2 linked regions of the Tamandua tetradactyla genome follow. The protein of the gene in region 2 interacts with the protein of the main gene of each other region in a biochemical or structural test. Links are inferred from orthologs where the notes say so. Each region holds a gene or a part of one and is shown on either strand. Other genes may lie near its edges.

Region 1 (7,003 bases), on a different chromosome or scaffold from region 2:
TTAAGCCTATTTTATGGTGAATATTAAAATGTAAAATTAAAAAAACACCAATGGACAGTACTTTTAATACAGATTCCATGAACAGATTTGCTGAGACCCCAAAATCATTTATTTTGATAAAAAGCCTATCTATGATATTCTATTGTTATTGAAAGCCACACCATACAGCAATGTACAATATGATTGTTTTCCTTTTCTTATCATTTGTAAACTCAGACTAGATTTGCATTCTCCTTTTATGGGAGGCTTCCATAAAAGAAATTTTCAATGTAACCTATATAACTTAAAATATAAATCTAGAAGCAATAGAAAGAGTTATTTTATACTTTGTACTGTCTATGAAACCAAGCCACAACAACTGTATTCACAGCTGCTAGCCAGCTAAAATCTTGGGCACAGAAGGTTGTCACTGGATGGCAGGTACAGGTTGGTTTTCACTCAAGTTGAGGAACTCTATTAGAATATAGAATATATTCTCAATATTCTATTGAGACATTTGATTTTGCATCCTTAATTAAAACCAACCTATCGTGTATGTTCTACGCACATACATTACACGCAAACCTACTTTGGTCCAACAGAGTCTTGCCATGAGAAAACTGTTACATCAATTTTTGGTGGTCAGAATATATATTTTAGGCTTGGCTTAAGAACACAGTGTATTTTCATAAACTCCAAATATCTCTTTGGGTCTTTATGCCTTTATGATTTATAATCTTATTAAGCAACACCTTATATTGGTTAGAATAGACTAGGCTATGCCCTGGTGACAAATAAAGCACGAAATCTTGTTAAGACAATAATGGTTTCTTGCTTACACAAAGCCCAGTACAAGTCAAGTGGTCTTTTTTCTCTTTCTTTAAACTTTTAGGGACTCGTCTTGTAGCTACTCCATCTGAAACGTGTGACCACCAAGGGTACCCTGGCAGGGAAAGGGAGGAATGAAGGAGGCACACTGGCTCTTAATTGCCTTTGCCCAGAGATGACATCTGCCACCATTATTCATAATTAGGTAGAATTAGTCATATGCCCCCAATGTAACTGCAATGGAAATATAGAGTGGCAGATTATGGATATTATGAGAACTGACAATTCGTGCCATATATCTATTGCCTAAGGTCACACTATCATCTTTTTCCTTCATTCAGCATACATTATTGATTACCTTCTTTTTGGAAGAAATTGTGCTGGGTGCTGGTGGATACAGGTCAGAAATGTCATCTTTAACCTCAAATAGCCTAAGAGACTGGGGAGACAGTTACATAAAATAATATTATAATAAAACTATAATGTGAGACAGAGAGGAAATGCCCTGAATAGAGTCATAAATCATGTTCTATTTGCAGGAGTAGAAAGGAAGATGGGATTAATTCTTATTGAAGAAATCCTTGAAATGCTACAGAAGTGACAGCATAGCTGGGCCTTAATGGAAGTTCAGACAAGTTTGATATGGAGGACAGAGGGGGGAATGAGAAAAGAAACATGCTATGGAGAAGAATGAAGAGAGAATAGGAACCTGGATTATGAATCTGTGGGTATAAAGTGACAGATGAGTCAGTGACCAAAACAGGGCCACAAGTTTGGTTATTACTTATTAGTTTATATACTACATACGTATTTACTGGCTTATTCATTGGTGGAGCATGAGACACTAGAATACTGAGTATATCGCTCTACTTTGTTTTCCCCAAAGTTATTTCATTTTATGGGTTAGAAATCAAGGAAAAATTTTTACCAGAGCATTCCAAATTCTAATCAAATTGTTTGCTTTTTCCTCAAATTGTATTTTTTCTCAATTTCCAAACAATATTAAGACTACATTTCATAGGATAAACTGGATTTTTTACACCTAATTCTTCAGATTCCTTTCTGTTCCAGGGAAATATTTATTTAGCATGTCTAGTTAAAGCATCAAGGTGATTTAGAAACGAGTCCCCAAATACTAACTTTAAGGCAGTAGATAATTGGATTAAGATTTTAATTGTTTGAAAAACAAGACTTACAACAACAACAAAGGTTATGATATTATGGTATGAATAGTGGTGTTTGGGAGCTGGATTAAATAAGCCAAGAATCATGGCCAATAAAGAAAAAATCAGAGAAGGAAAATGGAGCATAGGGTCAAAATTCAGGAAATGAATGGTCTTTCTTCTTCCTCTTCTTTAAAAAGAAATAAATGTGGTGAGGGGACAGGAAAAAGGTAAATAACAAATGCTTGAGAACATGACCTTGAAATATGTAGTTTTTACACTGCTTTCCTCCCAAGTTTAAGTATTACTTAATATTCTTTTTTGGGGGGGTAATACAAATGCAATGCTTATAGTCATTGCTATAATTATCAAATGACTATTATGCCTTATACAAATGCCTACTTATCCATTTTTTAGCTTTTAAAAATTTACAAGATTTTCTAGAACTTTTTTGCCTTTGTGCTTTAGTTTCTAAATTGCTTCTTTCTTTAAAACTCTCTCAAAGTTTCTGAAATTATTAATAGCCATCATTTATTCATCTCCTTTTATGTGCCAGACAATTTGCACACATCATCTCTTGTAAATTGTACGACAGCACTGAAAAGGTGATATTTCTAATTTAGCTACAGAAGGTAAAATTCAAATTTCGTTCAGGCATACAGGCTGGCTGTGGTGTACTTAAGACACTAATTATGAATGTGGCTGGATAACTTAACTTCTCTATATTTGTTTCCAAGTTTGTAAAATGTGAATCCTCATAGTAGTATCTAAAAGGGTTAGTGTGGGTATTAACTGAGATAATCAATGCATGTGCTTAGAATAGTGCTTGACAATATAAGAACTTAATAAATTTTATTAATATTACCACTACTATTATTACCGTTTCGAATCTGAGTCCCTCGGGTTTCAAAGCTCAGGTCATTTCCATTAAATAATCTTGGCTTCTTATAAATGATTTAACCCCTAGATTAAAAAAAAAGTTTTTGGGAAGTTGTATTATCTAGGATTGACACAGCATTTAATCTTTTTTGCTTTTTTTTAAGAACAAGAACATGGGGAAATGCCAGCTATTTGGTAGACAAACTGCAGTAACAGTTCTCGAATCCAAATCCACGTTTATTCCTCTGGACAGTTTCTTTTTCTCTAAATAACAATTTAAACATAGATACATAAAGGTCCCAATCTGCAGTTACTCAATGAAAGGAAGGATTTATAAATGACTTTTATCCATTTCTTTCTTATTTTCAAGTTCTCCATGTGCTGTTTCCTATACCCATCCCCCCATGGTGTTAACTACCCCCCCCCCCCCTTTAGTGATTTGTTTGGTGAAATAATCCCCAACCCCTTTCCCTCCAAAGGCTTTAGTTATAAAATGGCCCAACGCTTTCTCCCCAAGTTCACCATGAGGAACTTCTAGAGGCCCTGTATTCTGCCAGGCTCCCCTCATTTTGCATGCTTTCCTCTCCTACAGGTTAAGTATCTCCTTAGGGTATCTAAACAGAGCCACCGCACACCTGGTTCCTAGGTTAGACGCCAAAGTACCTTGGACAAACGTGTGGTGACCGATCTGGAACAACAGATCTTTCTATCTGCCTTTTGGCTTTTTCTCTTGGTCACAACTAAAATCAGAAGTCGGGCGCCGGGAGCCACAGGAAAGTCGCCGCAATCGCGCTGACAGCCTCTCAGAGCATGCTCAGTCGGTCTGGAGTCACCCGGCGGCGACGGTGCACCAGCCCCCCTTTCCCCCATCCGCCACCCGCGCGGGCCGCCCGCTGGGCCGCAGCAGAGCCGGAGACGCTCGCCCCTGCCCCGCCCCGCTTCCCCCCGGCGCGCGCTCCCGGGCACCCACAAGGGCGTTCATCAGCCGCACCACCCCTCCCCGCCGCCTACTCCTCTCCGGCTGCGGAGGGCGAGGACACGTCAAGGGACATAAATAAATAAATAATTCCATTCACCCGGTGGCAGCGAGACGAGCCGGCTGCAGCCGGGTGGGAACGGACAGCTACAGCGCCCACCCTGTGCCAGAGATTAGGTAAAGTAATAACACCCCGGGAGGGAGGGGATAGGAATTGGTGCAGGAGGTGCCCGCGGTGAGGAAGACGAGCGAGCGTCTGCTGTCGGAGTTGCCGGAGGACCCGCAACGGCCAGCCTGTGACAAATGCGCCAACGTAGTCTGCTGGCTAGTCCTTATATAGACAAAAAGAACAAAAAACCCAAACCCAAACCAAAGCAAAACAACAACAACAACAACAAAAAAAACCCCGACGCTGCAATGGAGAAGAGCGCGGGGTCCGCCGGGCGCGGGGCGCGCGCTTTGGAACGGCGGGCTCCAAGGGTCCCGGGCGTGCCTCCTCGGCCAGGAGGTGCTCCCGCGCTCCCAGTTTGTTCCCAGATAATTTGCCGGGGCGGGACCACCCCGTCTTTGCCTACGAGATTCCCGGGGCTAGTTCCTGCCCGGTGTTTCCGTGGCGCGTGCCTCTCGAGCATCCTGGACCTGCTGGCAACCTGGCGTCGTTGCGGCAGAGGTGGGGGCGGGGTGGCGGCGAGAGTGTTGGCTGGGGGAGGCTTATTTTTCAGCAGAGCCGCGGATGATTGAGGTTCCGAGAGGCTGGGAGCAGGAGACGAGACCCCAGGGTCGGTCCCCGAGAAGCATGGCAGGGCCGTTGGCGGACGGAGGTGTGCGTGTGTGTGTGTAAAGGGCTCCCGGGCAGCGGGGGAACGCTGACGGAGGTGTGCGTGTGTGTGTGTGTGTAGAGGGCTCCCGGGCAGCGGGGGAACGCTGACGGAGATGTGTGTGTGTGTGTGTGTGTGTGTGTGTGTGTGTGTGTGCGCGCGCGCGCGCGTAGAGGCTCCCGGGCAGCGGGGGAACTGACTTGGCTGGGACTGAGGAAAGCGTTAGCCCCTGAGACCCACGCGGAGCTTCCGTAGTGCGGCGCTGGGGGCTGGTGGGCGCCGGCCCGGCCAGGTGGTGCGGGAGACCGGGAGGCCTCTCACGTGCGAACCCGCTCAACCCTCAGCGTTTGCCGCCCGTCTGCTGCCGTTTCCACCCTTTTTTCTCCCCTGTTTCCGTGAAAGGGATTACAAGTTGTCTTGGCAGGGGCAGTCGTGGTCAAGGCCACTTTCTCGGTAGTACCAGGGAGGGAATTTTGTGGTTTCACTCCACGGGAATTAAAATTAAACACACATGCACTCACAAGAGGATAGGAGGAGCGGTTTCTCTGCAAGTGTCTAACGCTCCTTCCTGAAGAAGTGGGTTTGGGTTGGGTTGAGTGAGGGCAGGCTAGTGGCACTAGAAAAGTTAATACTGCGTGTCTTCCTTCCTTCTCGGTTCCCATAGGAGACGCAGCAGAAATCGCCACAAATGATCCAGGCAAGGTGAAAAGGATTGGGTAGGAGGAAACGGGAGGCACTAGATTCCCTTCTCTGGCGCTACCAGGCTAAACCCAAATGAGAGCCCTGAACTTTTAACAGACAGGTAGCTTGATTGGAACGGCCACTCCTAAGTGTGCATTTGGGGAAGTGTAATTGAAAAATCAGAGGGCAGTTGAGGGTTGAACAGGGTGACCCTTATTTAGCCTTGGTGAAGCAATCCTGGCTCAACTGTCTCCCTCTGAGCACGTTAACATTACATTAAGGCCAGTCTTAAGTGAATAAACTCAGGAAAAATATTACTACCTTAAGCAACCCAGTGTATTGTGTAACAACTCAGAAAGTCAGAAATTCCTCTTTGTAAATATTCACAGCGATAGTTTTCAATTATGTACTACTTTTTTTTTCCAGGGAGCATTTTAATAATGGAAAGTGGTCTAAAATTTTTAACATCTGTTTCCCATTGTCTACATTAGTGTCTCCACGTATAAGTCTTCCATTTGTTTCTGTTATTTCTAGGGAAGCATTTACTCTACCGCTATTAAAAGTGGGTTTATGTATTTGCCTTCAGCCCCTCCTGAAGGGAAAGGGGGAAAACTGACCTAAGGAAATAATTTCTGTCTGGAGTCATATTCTTCCATTATGGATTCGAAATATCAAGAAGTCTCCTGAGTTACTTTAAATTCTGCATTCATTCACCAAAATTTTTGAGACATTTACATGAAAAGGATAATTAATTTAACCTAGACTTCAAGCTCTGTTCTGTGCTTTTGTAAGGTTGAGTAGCTACTTCAAAATTTGCCTCTTTGGGCAAATGGTTATCCATAAAATGCAATGGGTGGTACCTACCTTGCAGTGCTATTGTGAAGGATAAAAAATATGAACACCTGGAGTATAGACCAGTTATTTTTGAGTCCCTACAGTGGTTCTAGACACTGCCCTGGTGTTACCAAGATGAATGAAGTTGGAAATCTTTTCCCATGAAATTCACATGCAGTCGTCCAGGTTAATAACCCTCTTTTCCCAATAGACAAGTAATATATCCCAAATAACCTTGGAAGAGATTAAACAGTTTAAAGAAATATTTGCAGGTTATAATGTATTTAAAAGCTAATTTGAGAAGGGTTGTCCCTTGCCTCAGAAACCCATGTATTGAGCCCTTCTTTTACCATTTGAGGGTGACCTGTATAAACAGACTATGGATGATTTTCTCCTTAATAGGGAGGAAAGATGTTCTCTGAAGAGGACCTTTGACAATAAACTGACTCCCTGCCTTTTTCTTTTTTTTTGAGAGAGAAGAAATCGAGCTGCAGTTTCTTCTACTCTTTGGACGGGCTAATCCACTTACTCCTATAAGCCCAAAAGTATGGTAACTATAATAACTACAAGTCTATAAAGCTCTTGAAGCACTATGCTACCACTTTCCTGTATTAACTTCTTTAATCCCCATATCAACCTTATGAGCTAGGGCTGAAGTGCCTCCATTTACAGAAGAAGGGTTAAACCTGGTGAGGCTCAGGCAAGAGCCTGGTCTGTCTGGCTTTAACCACTCGGTCATACTGCCTCACATGAAGCTGAAGAGGCAGGAATCTTTTGTGTCATGTTCTCCATTGCCCAGAACATTGCATGGTACTTGGTAGATTTTGGCAATTGATTGTTGAAAG
Region 2 (7,790 bases):
GCCTTACACCACATCTGCTCCCCCCAGCCCCCCAAATCTCCACTAAATAAAAAATTCTAAACATAGTAAGCAATTAAACAAATTCCCTCAACTGAAGACGGGCTGGCTGGCTGTTCAGATGATGGTCCATCTAGTTGACCAAGGACCTATCCCAATGGTGGCAAATAGAGGATGCTTCCCAGACTTTTAAAATTGATGATGTGCTTGTTAGTTGACAAGGGCACACCAGAGAAAACAGAATCTGCTCAGCCTCCTGTTCATGCCCCACCCCCTTGTCTCAATGCTTCATCTTTAAAATCTGGAGTCTGACCGCTTCCACACTCATTTCACACTCAGCATGTCCCCCCACCTCCACCCCCGACCTCTTTGTGAACATGTCTGTCTTTCTTAATCATCTTTGCATCCCTGGCTGTGCCTGCCTCCAGCACCTACCTTAGTTCTTAACAAGAACTAAGCATTTAATCAATATGTATTTGCACAGGGCAGGCCTCAAATGAAGAGCTTTGCATTGCAAGCACCCCTCCTGCTCCTATTTCACTCTGTTCTCTAATTTACACCCAGAGATTCAAGAGCTCTTATTTCTTTTTCTTCACTCTTCACATGACTATTTGAAAAGTCCCCCTAAACATGCTCAAACCACCCATTAGGAAACAGTACCACAATTACAATGATCATATTTTCCAAACCTAAATATTGGAGCCTGTGTTCTGGCTGGTAGAGGTTTACTTAGTGGTATTAGGAAGTCATAGTAAACGTGGGATTGTCCCTGAAAATCCACAAACATAAACTGCTGGAACTCAAAGGGAACAAGGATGTTCTGCATTGTAACCCTCCCAAGCCCTGCCTATGGGATCTGGCCCAGCCTATCTTTCCAATCTCCTTTCCTACCTCTCTCTTCCCCAGCACTGCCCCAGCCATGCTGACCTCCTTTCGGTTCCTTGAACCAATGAGCTTGGCTCTGTTTCAAGAGCTTTGCACTGGCTTTTTCTTCTTGCTAGAACCCTCTTTGCTGGATCTTTGCACGGTATCCATCTCCCCATCATTCAGGTCTTAGTCTAAATGTCACCTTGTCACAACGGCTTTCTTTAAGAGCCACCACCTCCAGTAGCCCCTAGCCTCCAGTGGCTCTGGAGCCTATTATTCTGACTTCATTTTCTTCCTGGTATGTACCTCTACAGGGAAGTATCTTATTTAGGTGTTTACAGTCTGTCTCCACCTCCCCTCTCCTACCCACTACAATGTAAGCTTCATAGGGCAGGTCTTTGATGGTTTGCTTGCTCCCATATTCCAGTACCTAGAACAGTGCCTGGCACCTGGAAGGTATGCAATAAAACTGAAATAAATGCAGAAACACCGCTCCTTCTGGCACACGCTGCTGCTCTCTTGAGTACCCTTGGCTGAGGGCCGTGCAACCTGCTCTTGTGAGTTTAAGTCCATCCAAATATCTTAGGGAATTGCACATATCATGGGAAAGATGCATAGAAAGAGCTTGGTTTGGGCTGGGTGGGAAAGGAAAGTCAAAAGTTTAGGGCAGGGCCACGGTGGCTCACTGGCAGAGTTCTTCCCTGCCATGCCGGAGACCTGGGTTAGGTTCCCAGTGCCTGCCCATGCGAATAAAAAAAAAAAGGTTTAGGGCAGAAAACAGAAGCAGAACAGGGGATGCTGCTAAGCAAAACAAATCTGGTAAAAAAAAAACAAAAAAAAAACCCACAATTGTAAAAATAAAAATTAAAAGCAGCACAGGGTGGAGATGTGTTTCAACTGTAGTTTCTGGAATACTGAATTGAACTGGTAGTCAGTGAAAGGTTTAAGAGGCGAAAGGGTGAGAAAGAAGGAAGGTAAATCGGGAAATTTAAAGCATGCAGGTGTATTTCTGCGCTCCGGGGCTGAGCTCACCAAATCCAAGATGGAGGGAGGTGAGTCAACACCTGGGCGATGGCATGGGCAGTTTTTAAGCAAGGGGTCAGGTGATATCCGGAAGGGGCGGTTCTCCAGAAGTCAGGTGTCCAGAAGGGGCGGTTCATCAGTTCCGGAAGTCAGGTGTCCAGAAGGGGCAGCTCCAGAAGCCATGTTGGGAGGGGTGACACAGCCTTGGCAGCTCCAGTTGCAGTGCCGTTCCCGATTCTCCTGACCTACCAGTCAGGACATCCCAGATTTAGACTTGACTTTGCCACAAATGCTTCCAGAGGTCAGTCGGTGCCTCTCTGTCAGCTTTACATGCTTCATCTATAAAATGAGAAAGCTAGAAGTCTCTTCCATCCTTTCCAATGATGACTCTGTAAAAGGAGAGACAGCAGGGTGTATAACCTGTCCAGATTATAAGTATTAGGGTTCTACAGTGAGGTTGAACCGCCAAGAACCAAGGTGTAAAATAAGTAAGGTCTCATTTTGAAAGTCAACATTAACAATCAGAGGTCAGATATGTGCAGAATTGTCTGGGAGATAAGGCAGTCTTTTAGGCCGGCGAGACCACAACAAGCACCAGTTTCAACATAATAGCATGTTTAAAGAAAAATAGAATGTGCCAATAAGGAAAGGGTGGGGGGTTCTGTAACCTTAGAGAGAAGGAGAGGCCACAGGCAAAACCCACCTCTGCCCTTCCACATAAGGTCTCCGCGAAGGGCCTGACCCAGAGTTTTTTCCCCCTTGAGAGGTGAACGTAGGAGCTGTAGCTAACAGGCTGTGAGTACTTTCCAGGGACATTGCTGGCCGATGGTTAAGAGTTCAGACTCTGGAAAGAATGACTGGATTCTAGTATTCATTCTGCCACTTACTGGCTACGTGACCCAGACAAATTATCATTCCTCTCTGCGTCTCCATTTCTTCACCGATGAAATGGGGTTGGTGCTAATAGTACCTTGCTGGGAAAATTACCTAAGTTAATTTGTGTCAGAACTTACAACATGGCCTGCTATTATAGTTTCATTGGCAAAGCTATCTTTGCTAAGATACATGCCTCGGGCCTAATGATATTAAATTCTTGATTCCTCTCATTCTGATGTCACTTTCAACATGCCACCTACTCCCTCCCATATAAGTTTGCTTATACAGGGGGAAAAAAGTATTAATCACAGAGACCCTGAGAATTTCCCAACCCAGAGCCTGTAATTTCTCATGGCACATAGACAAATCACATCTGGTTATGCCTGGGTCTCCCACATTGCCTGACCACAGAGACAGGATGCTTGGATGATGCTGACAGTAGATTTCTGGATTGGGGAAGTTCTGTCTTGATTTCTAAGTCAACACACTGCCATTCTGGTCCCTACCTCCCTCTTTACAGGAGTAAAGGAGTCTTTACAGTGTGTTTGGGTCAAAAGGCCAACTCAGGCTCTGATTTCCATGTACAGTGATGTATGTCCTGGACTGTAAAGCAGAGGTACGGCCTACATCAGTTCCTGGGTGAACTTGTAACCTGTGCACAGAGGCCTGGAGAGCCCCTGTGGCTGCTGTCCCTGCATGAAGAATAGAGAACTTGTGGAAAACCAGTGGGTTAAGAAATATAGGAAAGGAGGGAGCTGTACACAGATACATTAATTCAAGGGCTCCTCCCAGCCTGCCTGCAGTGCTCTACCCAACCCCTTCAAAAAAAAAAAACATGCAAACGTTTTCATTTCATTCTGTGACTCTGCCTTTAGAGTTCAGCAGAGTTGGGAAGCATCCTTGAATAAAATGATGAGCTTCCTGACTTATTGAAAGAGAGCTTTCGATGACGTTGGTGCTTGTCAGTGAGAATGTGTTCAATAAGATTTCCTTCCTCCCGACACCTAGTTAAGCTGAGTTTACCTTGAGGAATTTGCAGATATGTGAGTTTTGCTTTGTTCTGTTTTTGGAGCAAGGAGTGTAAAGGCTGTGGGGAGCTAACAGAAGCATGAAATACTTTGAGAAGCCTAGGAGATCTGCTAATGTCTGGGGAGAACTCTAGAGGCTCAAGATTCTGAGGCCTCTCAGGTGGAAGTTTGGCTGTGACATGGGTTATGTTGGCTTTCTCTGACTGCCAGTGAAGGTAAAGAACAATTATAATATTGTCACCTTGGAAAGATGCAGGCTGCGCTCCATCATTGTAACTTGTAGAGAGACTTTTGAGATACAGCCCATTCTAGCTGAGTTTTCAGATGGGGGACTTCCTGTATTGGATCTGGGGAAGAAAGAGAAGGCCCCAGAAGCATTTGGTGTGGCACTGGGTAAAAAGCTAGATCTGAAGCATAAAGCATATCATGTGTTAGAGCTGAGAGCATTTGTCCCTGGGCTCTAGGGCAGGCAGTGACCTGTTGGAGACACGGGGCCACCAGTGACCCCTCACCGGAGACTGGCAGAAAAAATGTCCCGCATCTGAGAAGAAGAGGTTCAGGGAGTTCGGGTTATGCTGACGCTTCTTTCTGGGCTCTGGGGACAGCTGGGACCCTGTTGACTGTCCAGAGCCCAGGGCCTCGGTCGGGGTCTGCCGTCCTCCTGAAAGCCCTTGCGGAGAGGACAGACAGGTAGGAACCCAGCCAGGGAAGCGAAACCTCGGTTTGAGAAAGCCAGAGATAGGAGAACTGAGTCTAAGATACAGTGGTGCGGGGAAGGACTGAGGACGCCCAAGCAGTCCGCACAGACCCGGCAAGGGTGCGGTGTAGACGCCCGCGGAGAAGGAAGAGTTGAGAAGAGAGGGTTGGGGGGGGGGGGGTGTGGGGTGGAGAGGAGCGGGACCCGGAAGGAGCTGGCGAAGCGGTCCCTGCGGCGACGTGCGCTCCGAGCAGCGCGGCGGGGAGGGTCCGAGCCGGCGTGTGGCCGTGTGACCGCCGAGGCTGCTGCGGCTGGAACAGGTGAGCGGCCGCCAGGCGGTCGGTGCTCGCCCTTGCGGGAGAGCGCGCCTTCCTCTACCGGCTCCCACAGGCGCTAAGCTGCTCCGCCGCTCCTCTCGGTCTGGGGTTTTGCAACTGGCAGCCGGCTTTTTGACCGCTCCCCCCTCCAGGCTCTGTCTCTCCTTCTTCTTTTAGGTTGCTCCACCCCGCCCAGGAGCAGACGAGGGGGAACCAGCTGGGCTGCGGCTGCCAACTCGCGCCGAGTGCGTCTGCGAACTCCCGGGGTGGAGTCCCGCGTCCTGCCACCGCCCTGCGGGGCGCGCTCTCCTCGCTTCCCCGGGCCCCGCGTCCCCCTGCCGCGCCAACCCTTCCCCACTTTTCCCCCCTTTTGCAATCGCATGGCATTTTAAGAATGCCGGAAAGATGGCGGTAGCGGCGGCGGCGGCGGCGGCGGGGCCGGCTGGCGCGGGTGGCGGCCGGGCGCAGCGGAGCGGGCTGCTGGAAGTTTTGGTGCGGGATCGCTGGCACAAAGTTCTGGTGAACTTGAGCGAGGACGCCCTCGTTCTGAGTTGCGAGGAGGGCGCTGCGGCGTACAATGGCATCGGGACCGTCACCAATGGCTCGTTCTGCAGGGGCGCCGGGGCCGGGCACTCGGGCGCAGGCGGCGCGCAGCCCCCGGACTCGCCCGCCGGCGTCCGTACAGCCTTCACCGACCTGCCGGAGCAGGTGCCCGAGTCCATCTCCAACCAGAAGCGCGGCGTGAAGGTGCTGAAGCAGGAGCTGGGCGGGCTGGGCATCAGCATCAAGGGGGGCAAGGAGAACAAGATGCCCATCCTCATCAGCAAGATCTTCAAGGGGCTGGCGGCGGACCAGACCCAAGCCCTGTACGTGGGCGACGCCATCCTGTCTGTGAACGGAGCCGACCTGCGGGACGCCACCCACGACGAGGCCGTGCAGGCGCTGAAGCGCGCGGGCAAGGAGGTGCTGCTGGAAGGTAAGGGGTTAACGCCGCACCGGACGCGCCCACACCCACTGCTGCTCCCACTCGCGCACTCGCACCCCCGCACGTGCCATCGTGCTGCAGGTGTCCGGGGAGGTGGGGTGGCGGGGAGTTGCGACAACTTTTACCCACATGGGGTCTACTTCTCTCCGCCCCTGGAGTCTTTACAGGCCTTGACCCAGGAAAGGTGTTGGACCGGAGGCCAGATGAGTAGGATTAGCGAGCTCCTACTGTGTGCCAAGCACCGGGCCCGGTGCTTGGTGCACGTTGTCTCATTTTATCTGCAGATAGTGTGCGTGTAGCGTAGGGACTGAGGAGCTGAACGGGAAGTGAACGGTAGGCTTAGAGATACTCACCCGTCGCGGTTGCGAAGCGGGCCCACCGGGTAATTGCAACTCGTAGAGTTTTCCGCTTTGGCAGCATTTCCCTCTCAGAAGCCCGGTAAACCAGCAGAAATGGGTTGAATCATAAAGGGGCAGAGAGAGGTGGCAATGTGTGGATGCTAAAATTCTAAGCGCCTCTCTTCGCCTCTGCAAATTGGGAGAGCGCGTTTATGCCCGGAAAGTTGTGCCAAGGGCTGGGAAATTGGCTGCAGGTGTTTTTTTTTTTTTGCGAAAGTTCACTTCTGCCCGATGTCTGAGGGATCTGTCTGGATTCCGGATTGCTCTGGGTGTGAGGGATGGGTGAGGTGGTTTTTCTGCCCCTCTCTTTCCGTGGCTTTTTTGGAAAGATGTGGAAACAACTGTGCATTTGCAAATAGTTTCCCATGCATGTGTAGCGCCTTTGAACCCACTTTCCTGGGATGGGGTGTGTCAATCCACTAATTATTGGATGTGAATAGAATAGGAGTAACTGCTGTACCCGTTTGTGTATATGTATGGGGTTGTGTGGTGGAGAAGGGCAGTAGGTATGAAACCCATAATGCAGTGGCCTTTCCATTGTATTTTTCATTTGATGACTGCCTGTCTGTACTTTAGCACTTGGTGCTTGTGGCTATCAGCACTGATTTTGTGTAATTATTTTTGTCTATTTACCTAGCTTTCTCCTAACTCTAGATCACGTTTCCTGAATTTTTATTCAGATGTGGGTCACGCTTGAGTGTACAAGCTCAATCACATGTGTTGTGAGTGAATGAATGAATAAATGAACCCGTAGCCATTAAAACAGAGTGTTTCAAGTTGAGACCTCAGAAACTGGCGGTTGATTTAAATCTTAACTCAAGGCTTAGATCAGTTTTCTAGATGGGGTGCTGGGGTGTGGAACTGAGAATGTTCCGAGTTGGGAAAGCAGCTTCGTTACCTGGCCTAGAATGCAAAGAGCTTATTTTGCTTTTGTTACTGTTTTTCCTCCTTACTTGTATACAGGCTCTGTATTGTCTTCATAGTTAATCACCAGCCTGGATCCAAAAAGTGGAAGGCTCTTTGCTTTGGCCTAATGATTACCATAAGTAAACAGAAAAATATTTCCTTGATTCGAGTGTGTGTTGGTTTGTGTGGCGAGTGGCAGGTGGGATCTGAAGCAAGTGTAGTTTGGACTATAAACTCCTGGAAACCTGATCAGCTTGCAGTACTTACTATAAAATATCAGGGGGTAGGGAGGGGTGGACAAATGGAGGGCATTTTTACTTCAGGCACCGTCCTTTATTATATCCCTTCCTTTCTTCCTTTCTTTGGTTTCAGTTTAATGAATAGTGACTTGGTAAAGAGGTAAAAACAAATCTCTCTCACCCTTTGAAAAGAAAAGGTGGTTCCCTGCATTTGAAAATCTTAGGTAAAGGAAAGAATTCCAGCAGTTGAGACTGTTGAGACTGTAACTGAAAAGTGGGCTGTGGGGTAACTCTCACATGATGTTCTTAAGAACATCGTGTCTTGTGGAAGGACCTCTTGGAACAACCTGTGGACTTCCTGAGCGTGGCTGACTCAGTGTAGTAGTATTATCTGCAGCTTGAGTTTACGGAAAGAGACTGCAATTGATAGAAGCAAATAGAGGCGGTGCTTGTACAG

Evidence for each region.
Region 1: the proteins of SNTB1 (region 2) and SLC16A7 interact in a test that uses a peptide from one of them, tested with the Homo sapiens proteins (2 studies listed by IntAct, with this or other methods). The link is inferred for Tamandua tetradactyla from reciprocal best matches to the Homo sapiens genes SNTB1 and SLC16A7.

Annotation. Positions count from the first base shown.
Region 1 is NC_135333.1:127,021,786-127,028,788, forward strand, and holds the start of SLC16A7 (monocarboxylate transporter 2), read left to right. Parts: upstream 1-3,844; 5' UTR 3,845-4,002; intron 4,003-4,573; exon of another isoform or gene 4,574-4,646; intron 4,647-6,631; exon of another isoform or gene 6,632-6,703; intron 6,704-7,003. Other genes in the region: uncharacterized protein LOC143642624, read right to left, coding at 3,513-3,719. UniProt on the Homo sapiens protein: Proton-coupled monocarboxylate symporter. Catalyzes the rapid transport across the plasma membrane of monocarboxylates such as L-lactate, pyruvate and ketone bodies, acetoacetate, beta-hydroxybutyrate and acetate.
Region 2 is NC_135332.1:165,260,509-165,268,298, reverse strand, and holds the start of SNTB1 (beta-1-syntrophin), read left to right. Parts: upstream 1-4,693; 5' UTR 4,694-4,808; intron 4,809-4,982; 5' UTR 4,983-5,210; coding exon 5,211-5,781; intron 5,782-7,790. UniProt on the Homo sapiens protein: Adapter protein that binds to and probably organizes the subcellular localization of a variety of membrane proteins. May link various receptors to the actin cytoskeleton and the dystrophin glycoprotein complex.